Xenopus tropicalis: one gene and its partners. The main gene of each other region encodes a partner of the protein of the gene in region 2 in a complex. Links are inferred from orthologs where the notes say so. Each region holds a gene or a part of one and is shown on either strand. Other genes may lie near its edges. The genes, in order: pde6g, gnat1 and unc119.

Region 1 (8,165 bases), on a different chromosome or scaffold from region 2:
AACTATGCCAACGTGAGCATTACCTGTTCTTACTGCGAGAAAAACTTTATAGTGATTCAATAACATGAAGACTCACAACAGGGATAGTGTAATGTGTACATCTCTTCTTGGCACTACACAAACACAAAGGAGAACTAAAACTGAACAAATAAGTGCTTTGAGCATTGAGCCGACACAAAGGATAAAGGCAACGGCTATTCAGAAGATGAAAGCAGCTACTATAAACATCACACCTTGTCTTTAAGTAAGTTTGGTAACATTTATGACCAGGAACAAAAATAGAAAGAATTCCTCTTCTACTGACACTGTTACTTCTAACCATGTGATGTCCCTTTGGTCTTGGAAAGTCCAAAGGAAGAGTTTACCAAAAAATGGACTTTAGGTATTAGGTAGATTGCAGCTGTCTGGTCTTAATTGGGTTTGGTCCAGTAATGTGGCCCCAAGCAAGCATTAGGTACATGGTTTAGAATACCTTTGCTTCTTGGTGGTCTTATTTTTCGACTCTCTCCCACCATTTATATATGAGCTAACCAACACATTGTTTCATGAGTTTAAAGTCCTTCCAGCACTAACAGATAAGGGGCACACCATGCCTTTCTACATATCTGAATCTCTTATAAATAAGTCCCTGTACTCTGTTCTTGCCCTTACATTTACGTGTGGAACAAAATGGATTCTTCTCATAATAGTAGGCAGAAGAACATATGGATTAAAGTGGTGCATTCCTACCAACACTTCCAACTGTAATAATCCAATCTGAATATTAAGACAGAACATAATCTGCCCTGTGCTCAGTTACATCTAAACTCCATATACTGTACCCTCCTTTATATTTAGGCACGTCCTGCCCCTTCTCAGGAACGTGAAACAGGAATGTCTTTCCTAATGAGGGAACAACGTATGCAACCAATAACATTAGAAGACTGTTGCTAATTTATATGTTTAACGTAGATTGTCTGCCTATTCTAATCCATGAGAACAGCTTCAGTTCAGCTATTCCATATACGTCAGGTACTTTCTGTCTCACTACGTAATTACATAAGATACAAGTGAGGAATTGTGCATTCTCTTTAAAAAGGAACTACATTTCCTTGTATGAAAGAGATGTAAAGAAAAAACATTTGTTGAGTGATCTTCAAATATTTCTTTGTGTGCTTTTCCCACAGTTTCTTTTCTCTGTAAATCTACAGTACTGCCAGTACAGATTAACAATAGCTAAGCACTTTATACAATATCTAACCATTCATAGCACTATCCGATCCCCTTCTTTTTTTTTTGTCTGAACAGTCAACTCAATTCTGTCTGAAAAAGCATAAGTAATGACAGCACAAGTCCCCCAAGACCCTCCCTTTATCATGGAGTATTCCTGGTAGTCAAATCTACTTCCATCTTATTATACATGTCTATCTTATACACTACTGCTGAATTCTACATAGGGGATCTGATCTAACCAAAAGTTGCCTACAAATCACATTTTTTGAACTACAGGGTGATCTGACCAATTGCAAGTAGGCAGCACCGATGGATAAACAAATTGCACTGGTTGGTGCCACTGGCCTGGGAGGCTGTAGATACAATACCCACATGATTGACAATGTATTGAATTATAAAAGATATAATTTAGTTTACATTTGAGCAAAGAAGTATGTATTTGAAAAAGCCCATCAATACCCTCTTCTTAAAGGTGCACAACGTTTAGAAAAGAATTATGTGACATTATCAGGATTCATCAGAAATACATAAAAAAATACACAGAAATATTTAACTAATGTACTGCCAAATTTCCTTATATTAACCATTATATATCAGCAATGCATTAACTATATATGTGTCATTCCCCTCCAAAATGGAAATCCCTGGCAATTGGTAATTCCTTTTCTTTCACGTAGGCCATACCTACAAGGTGTAATGTATTCTTACAATTTTAGTTGTAAAACAGGTGCTTAACAGGTTTTATTTATTTTTTCAGAGTAGGTTAAGAAACCCCTGAAACAAATGACTGCTAAACATCCACAAGTAAAGATAATGGCAAAAGGGGCTGTTTCACAAGTGCTAAAGGAGAAGGAAGTCATAGTCAACAGGATGGGGGGCCTAAATAGTTAGATACCCTGCCCCCACTAATAATAATTGCTAACCTGTGACCCTGGGATGGGGGGGGGGGCATTAAGCTTATACTACACTGGCCAAGGTGCCAATGTAAGAGTTCCTGCTTACATATTTTATCCACTGTGGAGCCCCAGACAGCCCAGGGTGGGTGCACTTGCACCATGGAGAAAATGCCATTTTTTTTCCTTAAAACTTTGAGTCTTTACTCTGCACATCAGTTACAAAAGCTTACTGGGAGAGCAAAATAGATGGCAATGTGGCGCTCCGTCAGTAGTACCCTGAGCCAGACCAATTTAACCTAGCACCCAAGCAGTGGTTTAAAAGAGAGACAGGGATATGAATAGAGGAGAGCCTAAATAGAAAGATATGTCATTTAAAGGTAACAATAACAATAAAATTGCAGCTTCACAGGTCAAAAGTTTTTTGGCTTCTGGGGTCAGTGACCCCCATTTGAAAGCTGATAAGAGTCAGAAGAAGAAGGCAAATCATTCAAAATCTATAAATAATAAAGACTAATTGAAAAGTTGCTAAAAATAGGTCATTCTATAATATACTGTAAGGTTAACCTGAAGGAGAACCACCCCTTTAACAAATTCTGGTGATAGCGCTTATTAGGACACAGTTGCCAGCAAAAGCATTTGCTACTTGCAAACGCAGTGTTAAACCACCCAGAACAGCCCTGTGTGGAATTACTCTAAAGTAGCAGTGGTGTTTAGGAAAGGCTCACAGAAGGTAACTTCTGAAAGGGACACTGATGATTCTTAAATGTAATTATAGAAATACATTTTTAAAAATTCTAATTATTGATGGGGAAGGGGCTTACCATGGCAGTGGCCAGCCTAGATATTGGTAAGAACAGCTAGGTCTCTCATCTTGATTCTTCTGATTGATACTTTCAGGTCTGGTTTGGACCTCAGGAATCCTGTATAGGCATTATTTATAATTTGTGAGCCTGCAGTACCTACCTTTAACAAAAGGCTATTACTTGTTACTCTGTTGGGTCAAATGCACAATTCAGTGGAGGCAATCTGATCCATGGTATAGGGGAGTGCAAAAAAACTAAAAGGGCTGGTTTCGGGGATATCTGTAGCCTTTGTAGCAATATTTTCTAAGGTTTTAAAGAGGTATTTATGTTGTTTCTTTTCACTTAATATTGTTAACATAAAGTTAACAATAATAATATGGTTATGTTATGGGCTAGATAATCCCATTCCATGATGCAGGTTGGATTTTGATCTGTGCTGTGTGTTGCCAGCAATGTAAGCAAACACAGCAGAAATCAAAGAGCCAACCAGAAATGTAGAGTCTGCAGCAATGGCACTATGGTCACAATAAGGATTTTAATAAAGTGCCGCTACAATCTGAAGAAACAAAAGTGGTAGCATTTCATTAAACTGACAATATTCTATTCACATATAAACATTTAAGAGGCCACAAAACCATCCTTATAATGTTAGGCACTCTCTAGAATCTAATGAAACTGACCACCTCACCATTTACAGGAAACTATTATTTGGATAAAAAAGTGCTCCCACTCCTTCCAAGGCTATTTCCCTACCAGATTTTTAGTGTGTCAGGTGATTGAGCTGTTGTTTCAGTTCACATGCTTTGCTATTGATTTATGTAAGCTTTGCATGGCTGCATAGTTGACAACAGGACAAGTGAAAGGCTTGGATATGACAGGATTAAACAAAGGTGTTTGCTGATGCAGCAGAATCGTTTCACTTCAAGCTGCTTATACAGAATCACAAATCCCTCGACCTGGCCCCTTCTGGATTTGATTGCAACAGACGGGTACAGCATACATGAATCCTTGTGCCTAATAGAATCTAATGCATCATAAGAGTTTGGACAGTGGTTTAACTTGCTGAAGTTCAAAAACAAAAGAAAAAAAATCAGCATAACTAGTTGCCAATGCGGTAAGAATTTCAAAATTTGATATATTTGTATATAGGATCTGTAGAGATAAAACGTTTGTATTTTGGATCCTTGTGCAATGGGGGTGGCACTGTGTGTACCTCCATGAGACTCCTCTTTTCTTCAGGTGAACAAACTTCATATTAAAACATAATAAATGGATGGGCCATCTGTATTTTACCATACTCTGTGCATCATCTCCTGGACACCCAAAACCAAATGTAGTTGTACAGTTCATACCTACAAAAAAGTGCCTTGCTCTGTTGATAGTATCCATCCGCATTATTGTGATTTCAATGCACACAAAAACCCAGAATACACTCTTGCTTTGCAACATAAACATCTTAATGTGAGAAATTAACTAGATTTCACCCCCCAAGTCACACCATGTCTGCATATGGTGAAAAGTATACAAATATATTGTACTACCAAATCTCCTTTTTCACCCCAAAACTAAGTATTAATACAAGAGAGAAGCAAGTTAGCAATTCGCTGAAACCAAAGTACACTTTAAGCCCTTCCCCATTCCTAAAATATCAGACTCTTAGAAAGCACCTCAGTTTGGCTTTTAAATCTACCCAAACACAAAAATATTCAAACTAAATGTTAGGAAGAATGACTCTCATGATGCTGTAATCCATTTTTAAATTACAGATGCTGATCTTTTCATTTCTATAACTTACCCTTTGCAAAAAGATTTCACATGTCCTGCCACAGTTACGGGAGGTGAGCAGCGGTACCTCACTTCATGCCTCCTCTCTTGGGACAGCTGATCCTTTGCATCAGCTGAGTCTCTGGATTTATCAGGCTCAGGGTTAATAGGATTACAGTTCTCGTTCTCAATAAGTAATCTGATATTCCATTGGTGGGGGCACAGACAGTACGTATTTGTGATGCGAACAGGTTACATATTTATTGCGTGCAACACTTAAAATCCTTATTAATAAATATATTTTACATTTCACCACAAATATATGCATAATGTACTACTTATATACAAATGGTAGGCCCTAGTAAAATGGTGAACAAGCTTTAATATAAACATGTCAGTTGATAAAGATTTCTTCATATTTCTACTGAATTACACCATTCACTGGGCTTTGCTTACAGTATATTAGAGGAACTTTAGAGAATTGGAGTATTGTACACTATGAATTCCATTTCAAAATTCCAACTTTATGCTGATTTTTAGACCCGTTTACTATGTCCCTGTTACACAACAGTCCATAGTTTAAGCTAAGACTTGTCCTTGATCATTCTGAAGCGTATTTCCATCCTTATGAACATTTTAAGGTTCTCATCGTCTATATGCTTTTCCAGAACCTGAAGCACCCTTTCGCCTCCATCTTTGTACAGTTCCAGGAGCTCCTCTGCATATGTAATCCATACACAATTGTGACAGCCACTCATACAGCAGTGTGTTGGAGGTGGTGGTAATTGGGAATCGCCGGGATTTTGTGAGTCATCTATGATACGATCTACTCTCTGCATTGCGCTGCTGGAATTAGTCACATGACTTGAACTGTTTGTAATCTTTTCACTTGTGGATGTGTTTAAAAATCGCATTGCATTTGTACTTCTGTTCACTAAAGACAGGACCGATGTGAGTCTCCTCAAGATAGAAAGTGGCATCTGTAAGAAAGAACTATAATTTACTGCAGATATAATACACACACGCTTTCATGATATGGTTTTGTTGCTCATTTATATACAGGTAAAAAGAAACTTGCACATGGTCCTCCATCTTTGGTCCTTGAGACTAAGACAATGTGTTGTAGGTAACTGTTTACTAGTTCCCTTATTAACATGGCAAACAGGCTAACATTTGACATTTACAAACAGATTTATTGCAACTGTGCACATCTGGGGACTTTAAACATGACCACAATTATAGTGGTAAGATAAAGGATCTCAGCTTGTCACCCCAACACTAACTATAAAACAGAACAACTAAAACATGGTAATCAAATATATAACTCAGTACAGATAATAAAATCACCATTGTCTATAGGATCAGCATCTTCTATATAGGAGGTAAATCAGTGTCAGTATGGTGGACATGGCTCTAAACAAACAACCTACCAGCCACATAAATAATCACTGGTGCTGGGCCTTTGTATTTCACCCAGTAATCCTAATCTAACAAATTGGACCAAATAAATTATAGCAACAAGTTGGCAATTAATCTTGAAAAGTGTACTGCAGGTGAAATAATGAAAAGCTTAACTGGGTCTAAATAGCCCTACCATACTTAACATGTTAATGGACATGAGTATTAGTTTGACTGGATTTTAAACAGGGCTTTTAAATAATGATGGAGTATAATAAATAGAAATTTCTGGGACCTGCAGCAAAAACCATTTTAGAAACCCCCTAAATTTAAATTATTCCTAAAGTCTCCGATTGCTTTTTAAGGTGATTCTCACCTACAGAAAATGTATGATTAAAAGTAATTCTAGTAATACATTTTGGGAGGTGACAGGGGTAAATAAGAGTGTTATAGGTAGAGATAAATAGGGTGGGTAAAGATTTGGTTGGGGCTCTTGTGGAATCAGTGGATACCTGAAAGAGGTCCTTTCTGCAGTATTGGGTGTAGACCAGATAAATAGTTTCTTTTATCCACCAACTTTTGGTGCTTTGCTAGCCATTTTTCCATGGTAAGTGGAGGCAAATGGGACAAACAGTAAGCCTGTTTTGTGGACACCATCGAGGTTATGCAATGTGGCTTCCTTGGCATTCTGTGGCTTGGGACACAGGGAAGGCAAGGTGATTTCTTGATTTAAAGTGAAAATGACACTAAAAAAATATTAACATACATTAATTTTCGCAGTTGTTACTTAAAGTTCTTAAACCTGACTCTTTTTCCAACCCAATTGTCCCTTTTCAACCTGTCAGTTTTAGCTTCTAATACTAACAGACTACTGCTACACAAATATAGCAGCCCCCTCATAGAGGAACATAGGAAACCAAATAGGTAATCTAAAAGTATTGGTCAGATACTTTTATGGTAAAATTCTAAAGCTCATACAAATACAATGTTATGATAGTTGTATAAAAAGTTTTCATTTCTGGTGTCTGTATCTTGTGATATTCCGACACTACCTTTGGGTGGAATTCGGATTTGCTACAGAGTACCACCTTGTCCTCATGGAAAACACAAAGAGGGCTTTAGCAATAAAGGGCCAATAGATCCAAAACTGGAACAAGTGGTTGAAATTCTGGCTGAAGCAATAACAATGAGAAAGGCCACCTTAATTGATAAGAACTTTAGACTGACTGTAAGGGGTTTGTCTGGGTTTGTAGAGCTCAGAGGACGAGACTGAAGTCCCAGGGTGGGAGTGGGGCTTGCCTGCGTGGTTGAATATGGAGAGCCACTTGCAGGAAGGTCTTAAAATCTGGATGGAGTGCCAATTGTGTTTGGAGCAGAACAGAGTGCAGATACATGAACTTTCAGGGAGCATGAACTTGGGCCTTATCTAGGCCTTGTTGGAGGAATTCTAGAATATGTGGTATAGAGATTTCTCTCTGGTCTTTATGTCTCAATATTCTGTGGCAAGAGTGCACAATGACTCTTCTAGGCTTGCAGCAGTGTGCTGATTACTTTTGTTGAGAAACCTTAGTCCACCTAGTTGATGGTCTTAAGAGCCATAGGGTCAGGGATGATATCTTGTGATGTAGACCTTGGGAAAGAAATTCTTGGCGTAGAGGTAGCCTCCATGGTGCTGTAACCAACTTGTCCTGGAGGTCTGAGAACCAGGCCTGATTGGGCCAGTATGGCGATCAGAATGGTAGTAGTGTTGTGAGACTTTAGGTTTTTTCAGTACTCGGTGAAGCATGATATATATAGCTGTGAGCAGGTACAAGTGGAATTCTGCCCAAGCTAGAATCTTTGTCAACTCTTTCCAAGCAGCTTGGCTGTGGGTGACCCTAGATGACTAATGTACGCAACAACTTTTGCTTTATCTGATTTGATCTTCACAGGATGCCCCCATAGCTGATCAGTCCAGTAAAGTGATGTGTAGCTGATCACTCACAGCTCCAAGGAATTGATAGGTAACTTGCTCTCGGCAGCTGACCATTTGCCCTGGACTGTACTTGTTTCCCATTCCAAGAGAAACAAGTGTTTCTTGTGATGATTCTGC
Region 2 (8,104 bases):
TAAATGTATGTATGTATATCTTTATTTATAAAGCGCTACTTATGTATGCAGCGCTGTACTGTAGAATACATTAATACATTAGATACATTAAGATAATAATAGATAAATACAAAGTACAACAATAAATACAGATAGAAACAAGATAAATACAGTTGCAATAAGTTAAGAGTCAAAGACACAAGAGGATGGAGGTCCCTGCCCCGTAGAGCTTACAATCTATAAATGACGTGCATGTATTCTATGTATTATATTATTAATGAGACCATGCATGCTTGTAGAGAATGAGAAAAGCATGGTAACATATTTGATATGCAAGAGGAGCATGGTACAGCGCTACTCTGTAGCCACTTTCTATGTAAGAAGAGCAGTAGAATACTGGGAATAAATGTATAAGAGTAACATTGAAAAGCTTGGTAAAAGGAACAGTAAAGGGAAATGGCTTTGCAAGAAAACAGGGTACAGCACAAACAATGTAAGATGGGCAGAGCAGAAGAGGAGCTGTATAGAGCACTGGGTATAAAGAAGAGCAGTATAAAGCAACAGGGGCTAATTAACTAAAGTGCTAAAATGCACCACTACAGTTGCCCAAAACTATTAATCAGACCTTTGCTTTTATGTTCTAAATAGTAGCAAAACTAATTACAGATTGGTTGTTTTGGTTTAGCCCATATGTCATGTGTAGAGGTGTGTAAGAGAAGCAGTATAGAGCACTAGCTGTGTAAGAGTTGCACACAAGAGTTGAACACAAACTGTATAAAAGGAGTTGTAATAAAAAGGCACAGACACTAAGTTTGCCCAGGTGCAGTAACCCATAACAGCAAATAAGATGTTTGCTTTCAGGCAGGTGACCAGAGGCTACCTGCTGATTGCTTTAGGTATAGGTATTTGTATTGGTAAGTGCACCTGGACAATCTTTTTACATAACCTCATGTGTGTGCTATAGGAGCTGTGCAGCTCAGGAGAAAGTAATATACAATATCTAGTGGCTCTTTTGTTATGTTTCCCTCTGTAGCAGGAGCAAGTTGGGGAGGAACCCTAAGCATGTTACTCTGGCAGCTATTCCATGTAGAAGTGTGTTTATTGTAGTGAAAAGTGGCTGGGCTTGGTGAAAAATAAAGTCTGTGTGTGCACAGGTTTCATAAATGAAATCCTTATTGTGTGGGAATGGGGGTGCAAGTGGCAGTGCAAGTGGCAGTGCGTATGGGGTCTGTAACTTACTTCATCTGTTTTACAATGGTGCTTTTTCCAGACTCACCCGCCCCTGTAACCAAAAGAACAAAATAACTGTAACTGTGAAATAGACACAGAAAGTACTACAATGGACACTTAAGCAGTTATCTGATATTCATTCTTGTAAAATAAATTATAATTGATTGCTGTAGGTTGCCACATTGTGTCTTGCGTTGTACTTCAGTATATGAGGGCCTCTGAATATCCTGTCAGTCTCTATGTTAAATGCTCATGTGCCTTATCCTCCTGCTGTTACAACAACAAACCATAAGTAGCAAAATGTTCCTGGAGAACTCTTTCCATGCAGGGGAGCCAGTTAGTAGACATACAATATTTTCATGGGCCAGACTGTATCAAAATGATGATATAGTGCAGTTTATGGAACCCACACACAGATTGGAGTGTGGTCAAAATTTCTTGGACATCCGCAATAAAGCCAAGAGGCCTCCAGCTGGATAGCTTTTGTAGCTTGTAGGCTTTTGGGATAGGGGCCCTGCTGTGGGTCCCAGTAGCATTTAGTTAAGCCACTAGTGAAGACTAGATTAGGCATCTTTTATTTTCATGGGTCTACTTAAACCAGCACCTGCCTAGAATTTTGTCTAGAATTTTTAATTTTTCTATTGAAGCATAGGTCTATTTAAAAGAAAAACCTGAGGAAACATCACTAGTAATAGCCACAGACAATGGTATTTGGGCAAAAAATGCGCAGAATGGACATTAAAGTCTCAGTTCTTGATAGTGGGCTTCCATGCCCTGCGGACATACTAAGATCCTCCTGTGACAAACATAGCTGAGGGATACATAGTATTATAGGTAAAGTATCCAATAGTCTAATAACCCATTGGGATAAACATATACCTTTTAGTGCAAATAAACATTGAAGATGTAATCTTAATATGTATGTGTAACTAGCAGCATAAGATTCTACTATCTGTAACAGGACAGCTCCCTATTGGGCGGTCATAATAAAGAGAAAATACAATTATTTTGCAATAAACTCTCTCTTTTTTGGAATTTTGTTACAATGAGCCTTACTAACTAAGTACTTACAGGCTGTTTGTATCAGGCATATATTCAGTGCTCTAGGGAAATGTATAGGCCATAATGGTTTTAGTAGCAATCACAGTATTTTCTCCTGTATGTTTACACCCTGTATTACCACTGGCTGATTTAAAGACATGCTGTTAGCCATTGTTTATATTTTTTATTCATTTATAAGAACCAGGTTATCTACAAATGAAAATCCAGGCTCAAAACAGGAGACATGTGACTTTAGTATCTATGGGCACCAAGGCAATTTTATAATTTTTATAAGTTTTAAGCCTTTGCTCATGAAGTCAGTACGGTGTGCCATTCATTTTGCCATGGTTCCAAGAATATTTTGGCAGCAAATATATTTTCACCCCAGAATTATTCTATTCTATTCTATTATTCTAATTGATCTTCAAGCTGGGCTTTCAGGTGTATTCTCCTCAAACTCTGACTTTCATTGGCGTTTAGAGCCCCTCCTTAGTAACTTCCCAGTATTGTAACTGGGATGTGTGTATGTGATGAGTTACAGAGAGATTTTACTAGTCTCAGGGCAAAGAAACTGATTGCAGCACAATGAGTAATATAAGACTATAACTGGATGCAAAACAATGTAACTAGCTACAGATTGGGATTACTGCTCACAAAACAATAACGTTGATCACAAACTATACTCTACCACTGACTGGGGGTGGGTGGGGTGGGTTATGTTCCACAGGTATCAGCTGTAGGCTTACTACAACAGAAAAAATGGAACAGTAACACCTAAGACATATCTCTCTATGAGACAATTTTCACACACTGTGTCTTCATAGATGTCTTCTAGAACTCAATCTGATCACGTTATCAAAGGTAACATGCAGTCACAATGTATAAACCATGTATTAATTTAATACCTGTCAATTATGCTGCTAATAATGATGCTCATCATTATGATGCTCATAGGTATGTGTGAACAATGGGAACACCATACAATCTGGAGATAAAGACCACCTTCTGTGTCAGATAGGGTTGAGCCACTAATTTTTATTTATATAAATGTACAGATGGCACACTGTCTGTGTTCCTCTGGGATTACCCATCTGACCTTGTACCTTCTCAAGGTGTAAGCATTAAGCCTCCTTTTCTAGGGGCTGGGCAGCTTTAATGGGATAAGACCCAGAGCTGGGATCAGCTGTTAGAACCTGATCTCTCTTCTCATCACTTTCATTCTATTTGTGTTTAACTTAGATATCCCTCTCTTATCTCAACAGCCTATAGGGAGGAGGAAGATTTGAAAATTGCTTACAATTTACAAGTAAACTATTTTAAATGTCATTTATCTGAAGGATTTGAGGATTAAGAGCAGATTGGAAGGGAGTGAGTAATGTGAGGACCAGACAAAGCCTTCAATTTTGTTTTTACAATGGAATATCTGTATATGAGCAGTGCACATATGACAGTACATTATATGCTACAGTATGAGGGTATAGAGGCTGTGTTTAGACAGGCAGGCAGGTAGGAAAGGAGACACAGTGGCCAAATTATTCATTCATTGTCCAGCACACTATTGAGAGCCTGTATAAAAAAGAAGAGTCATGTGGCTTTAAGTGTTCAACTGAATTAAATCAGAACCATAAGGATTTGGCCACATCCAATATCCTACAAAAGATGCTGGAATTCAGTTCAATCCTGAACAGATTCCTGGATATGGTTCACCCCTATGCATACATTTATGTATAGGCCTACAGACCAAGAAATCCATTGGCACTCCCCTTATGTATGTGGTTCTTCCCAGCAGCGCAGGCACAAATGTCAGCATATTATTGGGGATATTAATGTAAAGGTACTGTTGGTACAACTGTAGGTAGGGGGCATCATTGCTAGAGCCCTGAGAACCAATATATAGTATATGCATTATGGTTATGTATGACATAGGCTCCACTGGAGAAACTGGCAGCTGATTAGTAGTACTAGTTACAATATTGCTCCAGTGTGGTAAAAACCCTCAGCATTAAAAATTAGCCTACTGCAAGGTAGACAGAGAAAGGAAATGCTTGGGTGTAATAGTTAATTAAGTTGGTGCCATTCAATACCTTTGTTAAATGATCCCTTGCCTATAAATATTAATATACTATAAAGGGCACTATTGTTTTTTTACTTCTCACACTGCTTTATTTTTTTTTAGAATATTCCCTTTTTGTGACAAAAAGGTTAAGGGCCATTTACAAACAGATGGTCTCTAATTGATGTCTCTCTTCCAGCTGAAACCCTCTAATTGGTGTCACTGTGTACAATGAGAAGGACTTTAGCCAGTCACTTTCTGCCAAATGAAGTTCTCTAATTGATCTCGCTTTCTTTCTTTTTTCTCCCCTGCCCTGACCTTTTCTTTCCCATTCTATATTGTCTGATTCTTCATTACTGTACTGTTATCTGGGAAAAGTCTGTTGTGGCCAACAAGAACAAAACATGAACAAACTCTTGACAGGCTGACCAGCAGTACTTTGTTCCGTTAGTTATGAGGAATGTGTTTACTCACCCAAGAGGAGCAGTTTGACAGTCCTTGCATCTTTCTCGGCATCTTCCTTTAGCTTCTTTTCTAACTCCCGAGAGTGCTTCTCTTCAGCACTGGCTCCAGCCCCCATATTCCCGTATTCCAAGTGCGGGGCAAGAGAGAGATGGCTGAACCTGACCTCCTGGTTTCTCTAAAAATGGGGGAATTCCAAACAGGGGAACGGGGAGCTAATGTGGTCCCTGCCGTCTGGCTGTTTGACCACCACTTAGTGCTCTACCCCCTCTCCTTCTCCCAAAGCTGATCTGCTGTAATTCCCAAAAGGGTTTTACAGATCCAAGTGGTCAGGTGACCCACTTTGGCCTATGGGGTGCAAGGACAGGTATGGGGGCTGAGCAGGTGTGGGAGATGCTGAGCTCAGCTGAAGTGTATTGCCCAGGAAAGATGGGTATCCTTATCCACAGAAGAGGTTTATCTTAAATCTGTGTATACGCTGAGTCCAGAGAGGAGAGATTTGTGCTAAGCCATCTCTATCCTGTACAAAGATCTCACTAGTAGCATTTGTACTCAGACACACTGCCCGTCCTTCCCTGCCAACAGGTAGAGTCATGGCTTCAGGAAACAAGCACTGCTATCATTTCAGAAGTTGGATCTTTTTTTTAGAATAAAATATACATGTGACTGAATGAATCAATATTTCACCAATAGTCAGCTTCAGAGTCAATTAAAAGTACAGCAAACAGGTAGGCCACAGACAACTATGTATGCTGTGCCTGCTGACAACTATGTATGCTACACACATGTGTGAAAGTTATAGGTATCTTTAACTGAGAATCCCTGTGCGTATGTAATGTGGAATCCACATAGTCCTGCACTGCCACATCTACCTCTATTTTGTTTGCTTCTGTATGGCACAAGGTTGTCTTCTTATGAAGGCCCATGGATATCATGATGATGCATGTGTTCTATAAATAGGCAAAGAAACCTCCCAGAGGGACTCGCTGCATATAACCATTGATTTTGTACCCAGGTTTCACTATGACACTAACAAAAAAAAAAACATATTCAAGAACACAGTGATGATAAAGGATATTAAGGTAAATACGACTTTAAGGTATGTAAAGACCTACAGTATATCCCAATAGTTGCTTGTAGCTTTATAATATAGAATCCAGGAGCTATATAACTAGATAATATAGCAGATCTTGCAAGGATTTGCGTTAGCTAAGATCTTAGTTATGCCTAAAACTTGGCAGGGATCCCCTAAACTGAATACACAACAGGTTCACCTTGTGGCTTGACATGGCAGAGTCAAGTGTAATTTAAATATGGCCTCTTATGTTAAAGTAAAATCCAGTGCAGTTGAGTTGATTGGCTGAGTTCACTAGATCAACATCTTGTGCAAAGTGATTCAACTAAGAAGCAACTCACTTGATGAACTGTCATCCTGATCACTGTAATCTGGTGACATGGGTGTGCAATTTATGCTTAAATTCCAGTAGATCCAATGAGCTGATTTTGGGCTGATCAAACCAATCAAACCCAAGCAATATGACTAGATTTCACTCATGGCTTACCTTACCATCTTAAGCTTGAAAAACAGGCAGTGGGATATGTGCCAAGTGTACTGGCTGATATATAGAAGACTCTAGTGAAACTGTTCAAAAGGCCAATCTGCTCAATTGTTTCAAGTGGCTGCACATTCATTCTACGGTATGCTACCCACTTGCAAAGCACCATTACTCTTCCTCTTCATCATCCTCTTGGAAATCGGGTGTCTCTGGTAGCAGAACTAATAGCGGGATCCATCCAGCAATCAAAGTTGGATTACATGATTATTATTATTATTAACATTTATTTATAAAGCGCCAACATACTCCGCAGCGCTGTACAATAAGTGGGTTTCATACATTGGACATAGTGAAGCATTACCAGTAATGTTGGCCAAGACATCCAATCAGTAATCAGATTTCAACAGTAGCAAAGCATCTATTGGCTGCTATGAGCAACATTACCTGTAATGTCTTACTCCACTTTTTACACATTGTGATAAATATACCCCTTAGTATCTTACTAAGTATATTAATAAAACATTTGGCCCGTGACTTAGCCTGTGTTTTAGATTTCGGCCCCCTTATGTGATTGAGTTTGACACCCCTGCTATAGAAGATTACTAACCAGGTATGAAAGTTGTTCCAATCAGATTGCAAGGGCACTAAAACACCAATACACCTGAGGCCAAAAGTGTCAGCAGATTTATTATTCTTTACTGTATTTTTCCGTCCAACACCTGAAAGCCCAGCAATTTGTACAAACGCTAAGCTTGCTCATTTTTTAGCTATTTGTTTTTAGCTTTAATTGCCCTCATTTTGAAATTATTTGTGTCAGCATTAATAAGCCTCAGCAAGGAAGTCTCTAATGGAATTGCAAGTCATTATGTGTGCTACAGTATATAAAGATCAGCACTGTGCAAACACTTTCAATTTTATGCTAATGCATTCACCCCGGGGGATCCGGCTCTTTACCTAGTAAACAGATATGTGATGGGCATCATATGCTAACGAAGGATAAAGAAAATGTAACAAACAAATACATGGGATGTGTGGGCTGAAATAATAGACAAGTGCACTAAGCAAAATCAAATAATTTTCCAACATCTTTTAAGCTCACAGTGTAAAGCTCACGTTGTTCCATTCTGAAGTAATAGATTCTGGGAGTCCCTCACCTTTCCATACTAGGTTGTGCGCAGATTCTCTGGAAAGCAGACTTCAAATCCCAGAATCCATCACTTTGCAACAGAACAAGGTAAGGGAGGAGATCATTCTGTGAGACTAAAGGTGGGGAGGAGGAAGCTGGTCCTGAAACTATTATGGTTTCCTTTCTCTCTATGGAATCAGGTATGTATGTGTAAAGAAACACATTTTTGTGATTGGTTATTTGATAAACCAATGTAAACTGGCAGAATACAGGAGGCTCAGTTTGGCAGTATACATGGTCTTCCAAAACTTACATCTTTATTCAAAAATAAGCACCTGTTTTGAGGCCACTGGGAGCAACATCCCAGGGGTTAGGGAGCAACATGTTGCCCCCGAGTCACTGTTTGGGGATCACTGCAAAGAGACACTTAAAAGTGCATAAAACCCCCTTGTTTAACATGAGTGCAATGAATAGAGCTTGTACCGAAGTAAACATACTTTACCCATATTTTATTTACAAGAGATCCATGGCTATTGTTATTTCCTGAGCTAAACAGGGCAAATTGGGAAAGAAAAGCTACTCCATATTTGATCCTTGAGTAGTAAATAAATAGAATCTCAGTGCACAGGTAATCCCCCATCCTAATGGATTTCTGCT
Region 3 (7,466 bases), on a different chromosome or scaffold from region 2:
TTTTGGCTGTTGCTATGTTGCTTGATATTCCTTTCATCCATATACAGAAACAATAACTACTCCATAGAGATATTGCTGTGGGGGAAAACAGGAGTGAGGGGTCAAAATATTCATTTTTCAAACTGAAGCATTTAAAGAACCGTCTGTGCAACTCAACAAGTTGTCAATACAAGTCTTTGTGACAAATACTTATTTTTATAAATCTAATTAATTACATTTATGCACAAAGTTTTATGTAAATTACTGAAGGTAAAAAAAAAAAGTAAATTTTTGTGTTTTTTGTATGCTTACCCATTCACCCATTGGTGATTTTCTGGGTAGTGCTGGCCATACATTATAAGATCCATTCATTTGTGAAGTGGCCAATATCGGGCTGATCTGATCGTTTAGCCCTAAGGCCAAAAGATCAGATCACCACAATGGGAATAAAAGCTGTTGGCTCGCGTGAACAAGCCAATGTGGTCAGACAGGAAAATCAAATCAACACCTGCCCGATTTTCAGCCAGATATTGGTCAAGTAGGACTGTGGGAGGGCCCCATACTCTGGCAGATAAGCTGCCAACTAACAAATTGGTATCTTAAATCTGCCCTTGTATGGCCACCTTTACAGACACCAAATGAAGGCGGAATGCAATCATTAAAAGGAAGCAGCCGGTGCAATGTACAGGGAGGAATAGAAGTAATGGAACAAAGGGTTCATTATTTTTAATCCACGTGTTTCAATGAGTCATGTGACACAAAGGACATCACTAAGCACTGATTATAACTGATAACAGTCCCGAACACTATTTACGGGGATATATTTTCATAATAATGTTTTATATCAGAATTTAGCTGCAGTCTCCTGTTTCAGGAACCCTATATTTTTTTCCTGTCTTACCGTTTTATTGATTGAAGCTATTTTTTACTCCCATCCAGATTACCTGTGTACCCCTGAAGAAAACGTTTACAAAATAGACTTTACCAGATTTAAAATTCGTGACATGGAGTCTGGAACGGTGTTGTTTGAAATTACCAAGCCACCAGCATCAGGTATGTACAGAATTATGCTGATTCTAGCAAGGGATAGAATCTCCCAACACACAGACATGGGGAACCCTTACACAAATGTGAATATACACTTGTATTGTAAATGTATTTGTTTGCTCAGCCTTGGGAGGAAGCCTGTGGCAATAACACTCCCCACCCAGGAAGTGCTTTATCAGATTATTATACTGCGTGTCATGTATTTCATGTAAAGCTAAATCCATTATGATCGTAAAAATGGTTGTGTCTAGTCACGCAGTGCCGTTTAATGCCATTTAAACCAAACAATAAAATTTCATTACAATGCTGCTACTGCTATAGTATGCTATTTTCAAACCGGACTGGCTCCATGGAAAATATCCCATTCTGAAAAGAAGAAGTGATCACAGCTGGGTAGTTATTATTATTATTATTATTATTAACAATTATTTATAAAGCGCCAACATATTCCGCAGCGCTGTACAATAAGTGGGTTTCATACATTGGACATACAGAGTAACATATAAAGCAATCAATAACCAGTACAAGAGGTGAAGAGAGCCCTGCCCAAAAGAGCTTACAATCTACAAATGTAGCACCTTACTAGAATCAGAGCTTTTCAGAAATGTGTATTTTATATTATTATATATAATATATTATTTTGATATTTTATTTGGCAGTGGGCAGTAACCCATGGCAGCAAATAAGATGTTTGCTTTCAACCTGCAGCTGCCCAGTGTTTATAAATGAGCACCCAATATTTTCAACCCGCCTGGCACCCAGAATTTCCAGGCTGACACACTGCTGAGAAGGGAGTTCTACTCACAATGATCAGGATTGTAACTGTTGTAACACTTGACCTATAGGCTTAATTTGGGACTTTATGCAATGCAATGAAGTGAGTCATAAATCCTTGAATTAGAAGATACAGGGTTGTTACAGAAATAGTTTTCCATTGTAGTCATAGCAATCATTGCTAACTGATGGGTTTGGGTATATTACCGTTCCAAGAGGGACTTATGCACATATTCCTTGTCTGTTAAGTAGCAGGCTGGATTTGTTTTCCTTTTGTCTGAATGTACCATTGGATGTTTGTTGGGAACTTAAAGCTGGTCATATGCAGAAAGGTCCACTCGTTTGGTGAGGACTCTATACAAGTGGACCAATCTAAGCGCATATGCACTTCTCACCCTGATCATCATCTGGCTGCTTATTGTTTGGGCAGGCCTGTCTGAAGGCCCCGGGCACTGCTGATAAGCTGCCCACTCCGTGACCGTCAGCAGCTTTTATCTGCCCATGTAAGGCCACCTTAACCTGCTGTTGGGATATACTGATGGTGTTAAATAACCAGGCACAGATTGCTTTTACAGATTAACCAAACCCGCCAGAAAGCTGCGCTTCTAAAGCTGTGTTAAAGGGGTTGTTTAGCTTTATTTTAAAGGAACAGTAACACCAAAAAATGAAAGAGCTTTAAAGTAATGAAAATATAATGCACTGTTGCCCTGCACTGGTAAAATTGGTGTGTTTGCTACAGTAACCCTACTATAATTTATATAATAAGCTGCTGTGTAGCCCCGGGGGCAGCCATTCAAGCTGGAAAAAAGGAGAAAAGGCACAGGTTACATAGCAGATATGTTATGTAACATAACAGATAAGTTCTGTAGAATACAATAGTGTTTTATCTGTTATCTGCTATGTGCCTGTGCCTTTTCTCCTTTGAATGGCTGCCTCCATGGCTACACAGCAGCTTATTTATATAAATTATAGTAGACTTTCTGAAGTAAACACACAACTTTTACCAGTGCAGGGCAGCAGCACATTATATTTTAGTTACTTTTATACACTTTCATTTTTTGGTGTTACTGTTCCTTTAACTTTTACTATGATTTAGACAATGATTAGATATTCTGAGACAACTTGCAGTTGGTCTTCATTTTTTATAGTTTTTTTTGGTCATTTAGCTTTTGGTTAGCAATTTGGTATTTTAGCAGCCATCTGGTTGCCAGGATCTTATTTTCCCTAGCAACCAGGCAGTGGTTTGAATAAAACTAGAATAAGTACAGGTGATTGAATAGAAAGATAAGTAATAAAATTGTAGCTTTGCAGAGCAGTAGTTTTTTACCTGCAGTGACCACCCAATTGAAAGCTGGGTAGAGGTAGTAGAGAAAGGCAAATAACCCAAAAACCATTAAAGATAAATAATGAAGACCAGTTGCAAAGTTGCTAGGTATAGGACATTCTATAACAGTGATCCCCAAACAGTGGCTTGTGGGCAACATGTTGCTTACCAACCCCTTGGATCCTTGCAATGTTGTGGCAAGCTAAATTCCCTTATATAGCATTTCATTAGATAGCACATTTTATGTTTTAGAACGTGACCACGGCGATAAAAAGGATGCTGATCCTAATGCTGGCAGATTTGTCCGATACCAGTTCACTCCAGCTTTCCTGCGACTGCGCCAAGTAGGAGCAACGTAAGTGCCTAGAAAGATCACTCTTATAAGCAAATGCTTGCTCTTCTGCTATGAGAGAATTTGCAAGTAGGTTCAGGTAATGTAAATACAAACTATGTGCGATAGTTGTTTTCATTTCCTTTATGGCTTAACTAAGAACATGCAGTTCTGCACATGAAAATCAGTATATTAATCTAAGTATGAGGAGAGAATAAATAAAAATGGAACATTTATGCAATGGTTTGCATGTAAATTAGAGTTCAACTTTTATGGATAATATATTTCATTCTCCATAATGGCACTAGCTATGAAAATAGTGTTACATACAACAGACTCATATTGTGCTTAATGTGAAAGTCTGCCTGGGCCACATGAGGTTGGAGGCACCAACGAGTATTTTACTTCAACTGGTCCTGGGCCAGGCAGGGGTATAAGTATAGTGAGAGCATTGCATAACAACTCTGTCATTAAATGTACTTGCTCCTTCCTATAGTTGCTCTGGGCACCACTCCTTTCTGTCTTCTGTTTGGAATCGTGTGCCGCAGCACCTACTAACGCATGGGTACTCTGGAGCTACTGCCACCTCTGGACCAGGAGGTAGCTCCAGGGTTCCCCTCGTGCCCTCTGTCAATTGCCACAGCACAGTTGTGCTAAAGGAATAGGGCACACACGTCATGGCAAACACCAGAAATGATGCCCGAGAACACCAGATGACAGGCAGGCTTAGAAAATACTTGTCTCGGTTGCAACCCTTATGCAACAGACACAGTTGTGTCCATTATTACAAAAGAATGTAGTTGCATTGTGTATTATATGCTGTGTTACGAGATCCACTGGTTTTAGAAAAAGAACATTTGCATTGTGGCTCAAAACTGCACTTTACTCACTGCACTTGTTGACATAAATGAGCCCTTTTGTGTAGCAGCCTCTGACTGATCACAAAGTCTGCGTTACTGAAGCAAACATGTATCTTTTATATTTATGTATGTATATATTTTATTGCAGAGTTGAATTCACAGTTGGTGATAAGCCCATTAATAACTTCCGCATGATTGAACGGCATTATTTTCGTGAGCAGCTATTAAAAAGCTTCGATTTTGAATTTGGCTTCTGTATCCCCAGCAGTAAAAACACTTGCGAACATATCTATGAATTTCCACAGCTCTCTGAGGATCTAAGTAAGTTATTTCTCTACGTAAGTATTTAGAAATATATCTGTTCCTCTCTGTGGTTATATTTTATTTCATATAACAAATGCAGTCTGATTCTCCGTGAATCAGTGCAGATTTCAACTTCAAAATAGGCCCTGGCATTTCAAGTACACAGAGGCCCAAACAGCCCCCCACCAGCCCAATAAATAGTGACTGTCTATGGCATCTTACAGCAGCCCCTCTGGCATTTGCCAGAACCCACAGATTGCCAGAATTTGTGTAATTTTCCAACCTTCATAAGATGTCAACTGAGAACTCCATTCTCACTGTATTTTCATAAGCCTGAATAAATATTGAGGGAAAATGCCTGCCAGCTGTTTGGTTATTCTTTTAGGGTGAATAGGCAATAGAACTTGGCATGTAAGGCTGACATATCCACCATTTGTGTGCAAGCTTCTACCCTGAGACTGTAAGATAAAGAATTAGATGGCTTAAAGTACATTTTTGCCAAATAAATCTGTACTCATAATATTCTGTAACATTCTGGCAATGGAAGGTCCATTTTGTTTGAGATTGATGTTTAATAAATATTGCAAAATAAAAATCTTGTTTCCCCTTTTTTTTCTCATTCTATTTTGCAGTTCGCGAAATGATTCTGCACCCATATGAGACACAATCGGACAGTTTCTACTTTGTGGACAACAAACTTGTGATGCACAACAAGGCAGATTATTCATATAGCGGAGGTCCGTGATCCCCAAAAATAGCACGAGCGAGAAAGCATCAACAGCAGTCCCCTTTCCCCATAGCAGTTACGTAAGGGATAACACCCACTTTCCGTAGGCAAACAATCCAGGAAACAATATACTGTTTGCAAGTAGGAGATTTTTGGCTGTACCCCAGTCTTTGTAGCACATTCAGATAGTGCAAGAATCGTCAAACTGCAAAATCTGAGGCAGTGGACTTCATCAGCCCTTCCCAACATGAATGTGGGATAAGGATAAACCTAAATAAATACTTCTCTCTTGCTCCATATAAAGGGTTGTTCTCCTGGAACAAGGACTCTTGCATCTTATCTAAGTCTTCTTAGGACCAACCTTTCTCATATGACAGGCTTGTGAGTTCTTCATCAATATTCTTGCCTCTATCTAAGAGAAGAAAGGACAAAAAAATCATTCAGTAGTTTCTTTTTTTACTAAATGTCAGCTTGGGAAAAAAACATTGTTATCAAGGAAATCCAAGCCAAAGATTTAATCAGTTCTTCCTCTTTGGGCTTGCACTTGTTAGGATTCTTGTTATTCTCTAGGCATTAAGTATTGTTTGACATTTTCCCATTCATTTCTAATGAGATGGCTATTACACAAAAAACAAACACAAAATTGTGCATAGATCGTTAAGGATTAAGTGTTCCATCCATGATTGCAAATTACATTATTATTGAGTCCAGCCTAGTTACCTATGAGTCTGAAGCAATGAGGCCCATCCAAGGTAAAACCTGATCTGATATATTTGAAATAAGTTTTGTTTACGGTTACACTGTATTGTGCAGAAATAACAATATTAGCAATGTAATCCATCATGGAGACTAGAACGGAGTACAATCAGTAACAACCTGTGAGCAATTGTTTGTTTTTTTCCTTTATTTTTTTTTGTCTTTAATTTAAATATCACCAAGAAGCGCTGCATATTTATTTCAAATGGTCCGGTCCTCCTCCTGGGGAACAAGCTCACAGAGGCAAGTATTTTTTTTTTCTTTTTTTGATTGCAGTAAATGCACATTTAGAATTCCAGTCAGTTGAGCAATAATTCCATGTATAATACAATATCATGAAGATTGTGAATAGCTTCAATTTTGGAGGTCTTTTTCGTTTCTTCTTCCTCTTCTTGATGATGATGATAACTACACAATTTATTTTTAAAAAGAAAAAATGCTGTGGCACCTATATTGGGAAGAGGAGAAGATCTCCAGATGCATTGGAACAGCTATACAGATTTCCAGTAAATATGATCAAGTCCAGCCATTAGTATCTTCTCTGACATTTTTGTAATGAGCTTCCAAAATGCTGCAGCTGTGCTCTTGGTGTTGGGGCAGAATAAATGAATTGCTGTATATTTTATGAGACCATCAAATGTAAATAAGCATTTATATTTAAGGATTAACCTCACCAAAACCAATTAACATACATTGATAAAAAAAAAAACCCAATTCCAGTTCTCATTGTTTTTTTAACAATATGACTTTATCATCATGTATTTTCTTTCTTTAGAACAAATTTATTGTATTTTGCTGACCTGGAATTTCAGATTTCTTCCTTGAAACATGTTTGACGATGCTGCGAGATATTCCGCTAACGGACATTTAAATAACTAGTTTATAATGCAGGTAAATGGCTGTCCCTACAGTGCATACGTACGGCTGGGTAACGATGAGACCGAAGAAAGAATTCACTTTTGATATTTCATTATTTTAATAACTGTCACTTATCAAATGCATATTTTTCACTTTACCGAATCCACCATTTTCTGTATAAATAAGGAGGGAGTCTTTACAGCTGCAAGTTGTAGATATTTCTATGTATAATTATAAATAAAGAATGTCTGTCTGTTTGAGGATTAAGTAGAATGTAATATGTGCACTTCAGATAATTGTTACTGTAAGTATCATAGATTTTAACAAAGTACCGCCACCAGCTTGGTAGAGGGGTCATTTCAGTCTTGTTTGTGTTCTGACTTAATTATAGTAAACTTTTGTGAAATGAAACCAATATTGTGTGAGAAGTTCATTTATATTTTGAGGTAAATCTCCAAACCTTAAGTCTGCTAAAACTCATTTAAACATTTAATTAAACCCAGTAGG

What was found.
Region 1: the proteins of gnat1 (region 2) and pde6g are in contact, whole or in part, in a cryo-EM structure (PDB 7JSN), measured with the Bos taurus proteins. The link is inferred for Xenopus tropicalis from reciprocal best matches to the Homo sapiens genes GNAT1 and PDE6G. Residues at the interface, in NP_851365.1 of Bos taurus: Ser140, Arg201, Arg204, Lys205, Trp207, Ile208, Phe211, Asp227, Val229, Glu235, Val236, Asn237, His240, Glu241, His244, Leu245, Ser248, Ile249, Ile281, Phe283, Glu305, Leu306, Met308; in NP_776846.1 of Bos taurus: Arg36, Gln37, Phe38, Lys39, Ser40, Lys41, Pro42, Pro43, Lys45, Leu60, Val66, Ile67, Cys68, Pro69, Trp70, Glu71, Phe73, Asn74, His75, Leu76, Glu77, Leu78.
Region 3: the proteins of gnat1 (region 2) and unc119 are in contact, whole or in part, in a crystal structure (PDB 3RBQ), measured with the Homo sapiens proteins. The link is inferred for Xenopus tropicalis from reciprocal best matches to the Homo sapiens genes GNAT1 and UNC119. Residues at the interface, in NP_000163.2 of Homo sapiens: Gly2, Ala3, Gly4, Ala5, Ser6, Ala7, Glu8; in NP_005139.1 of Homo sapiens: Asp87, Phe88, Val89, Arg90, Phe91, Ile105, Lys106, Lys107, Gly126, Arg127, Phe128, Val129, Tyr131, Phe137, Val147, Glu163, Leu172, Ser218, Tyr220, Asn230.

Annotation. Positions count from the first base shown.
Region 1 is NC_030686.2:31,882,283-31,890,447, reverse strand, and holds the start of pde6g (phosphodiesterase 6G), read right to left. Parts: upstream 4,787-8,165; 5' UTR 4,707-4,786; intron 1-4,706.
Region 2 is NC_030680.2:126,817,552-126,825,655, reverse strand, and holds the start of gnat1 (guanine nucleotide-binding protein G(t) subunit alpha-1), read right to left. Parts: upstream 4,993-8,104; 5' UTR 4,884-4,992; coding exon 4,778-4,883; intron 1,262-4,777; coding exon 1,219-1,261; intron 1-1,218. UniProt on the Homo sapiens protein: Functions as a signal transducer for the rod photoreceptor RHO. Required for normal RHO-mediated light perception by the retina.
Region 3 is NC_030678.2:34,704,075-34,711,540, forward strand, and holds the end of unc119 (protein unc-119 homolog A), read left to right. Parts: intron 1-918; coding exon 919-1,032; intron 1,033-3,376; coding exon 3,377-3,479; intron 3,480-4,463; coding exon 4,464-4,636; intron 4,637-5,250; coding exon 5,251-5,363; 3' UTR 5,364-7,370; downstream 7,371-7,466. UniProt on the Homo sapiens protein: Involved in synaptic functions in photoreceptor cells, the signal transduction in immune cells as a Src family kinase activator, endosome recycling, the uptake of bacteria and endocytosis, protein trafficking in sensory neurons and as lipid-binding chaperone with specificity for a diverse subset of myristoylated proteins.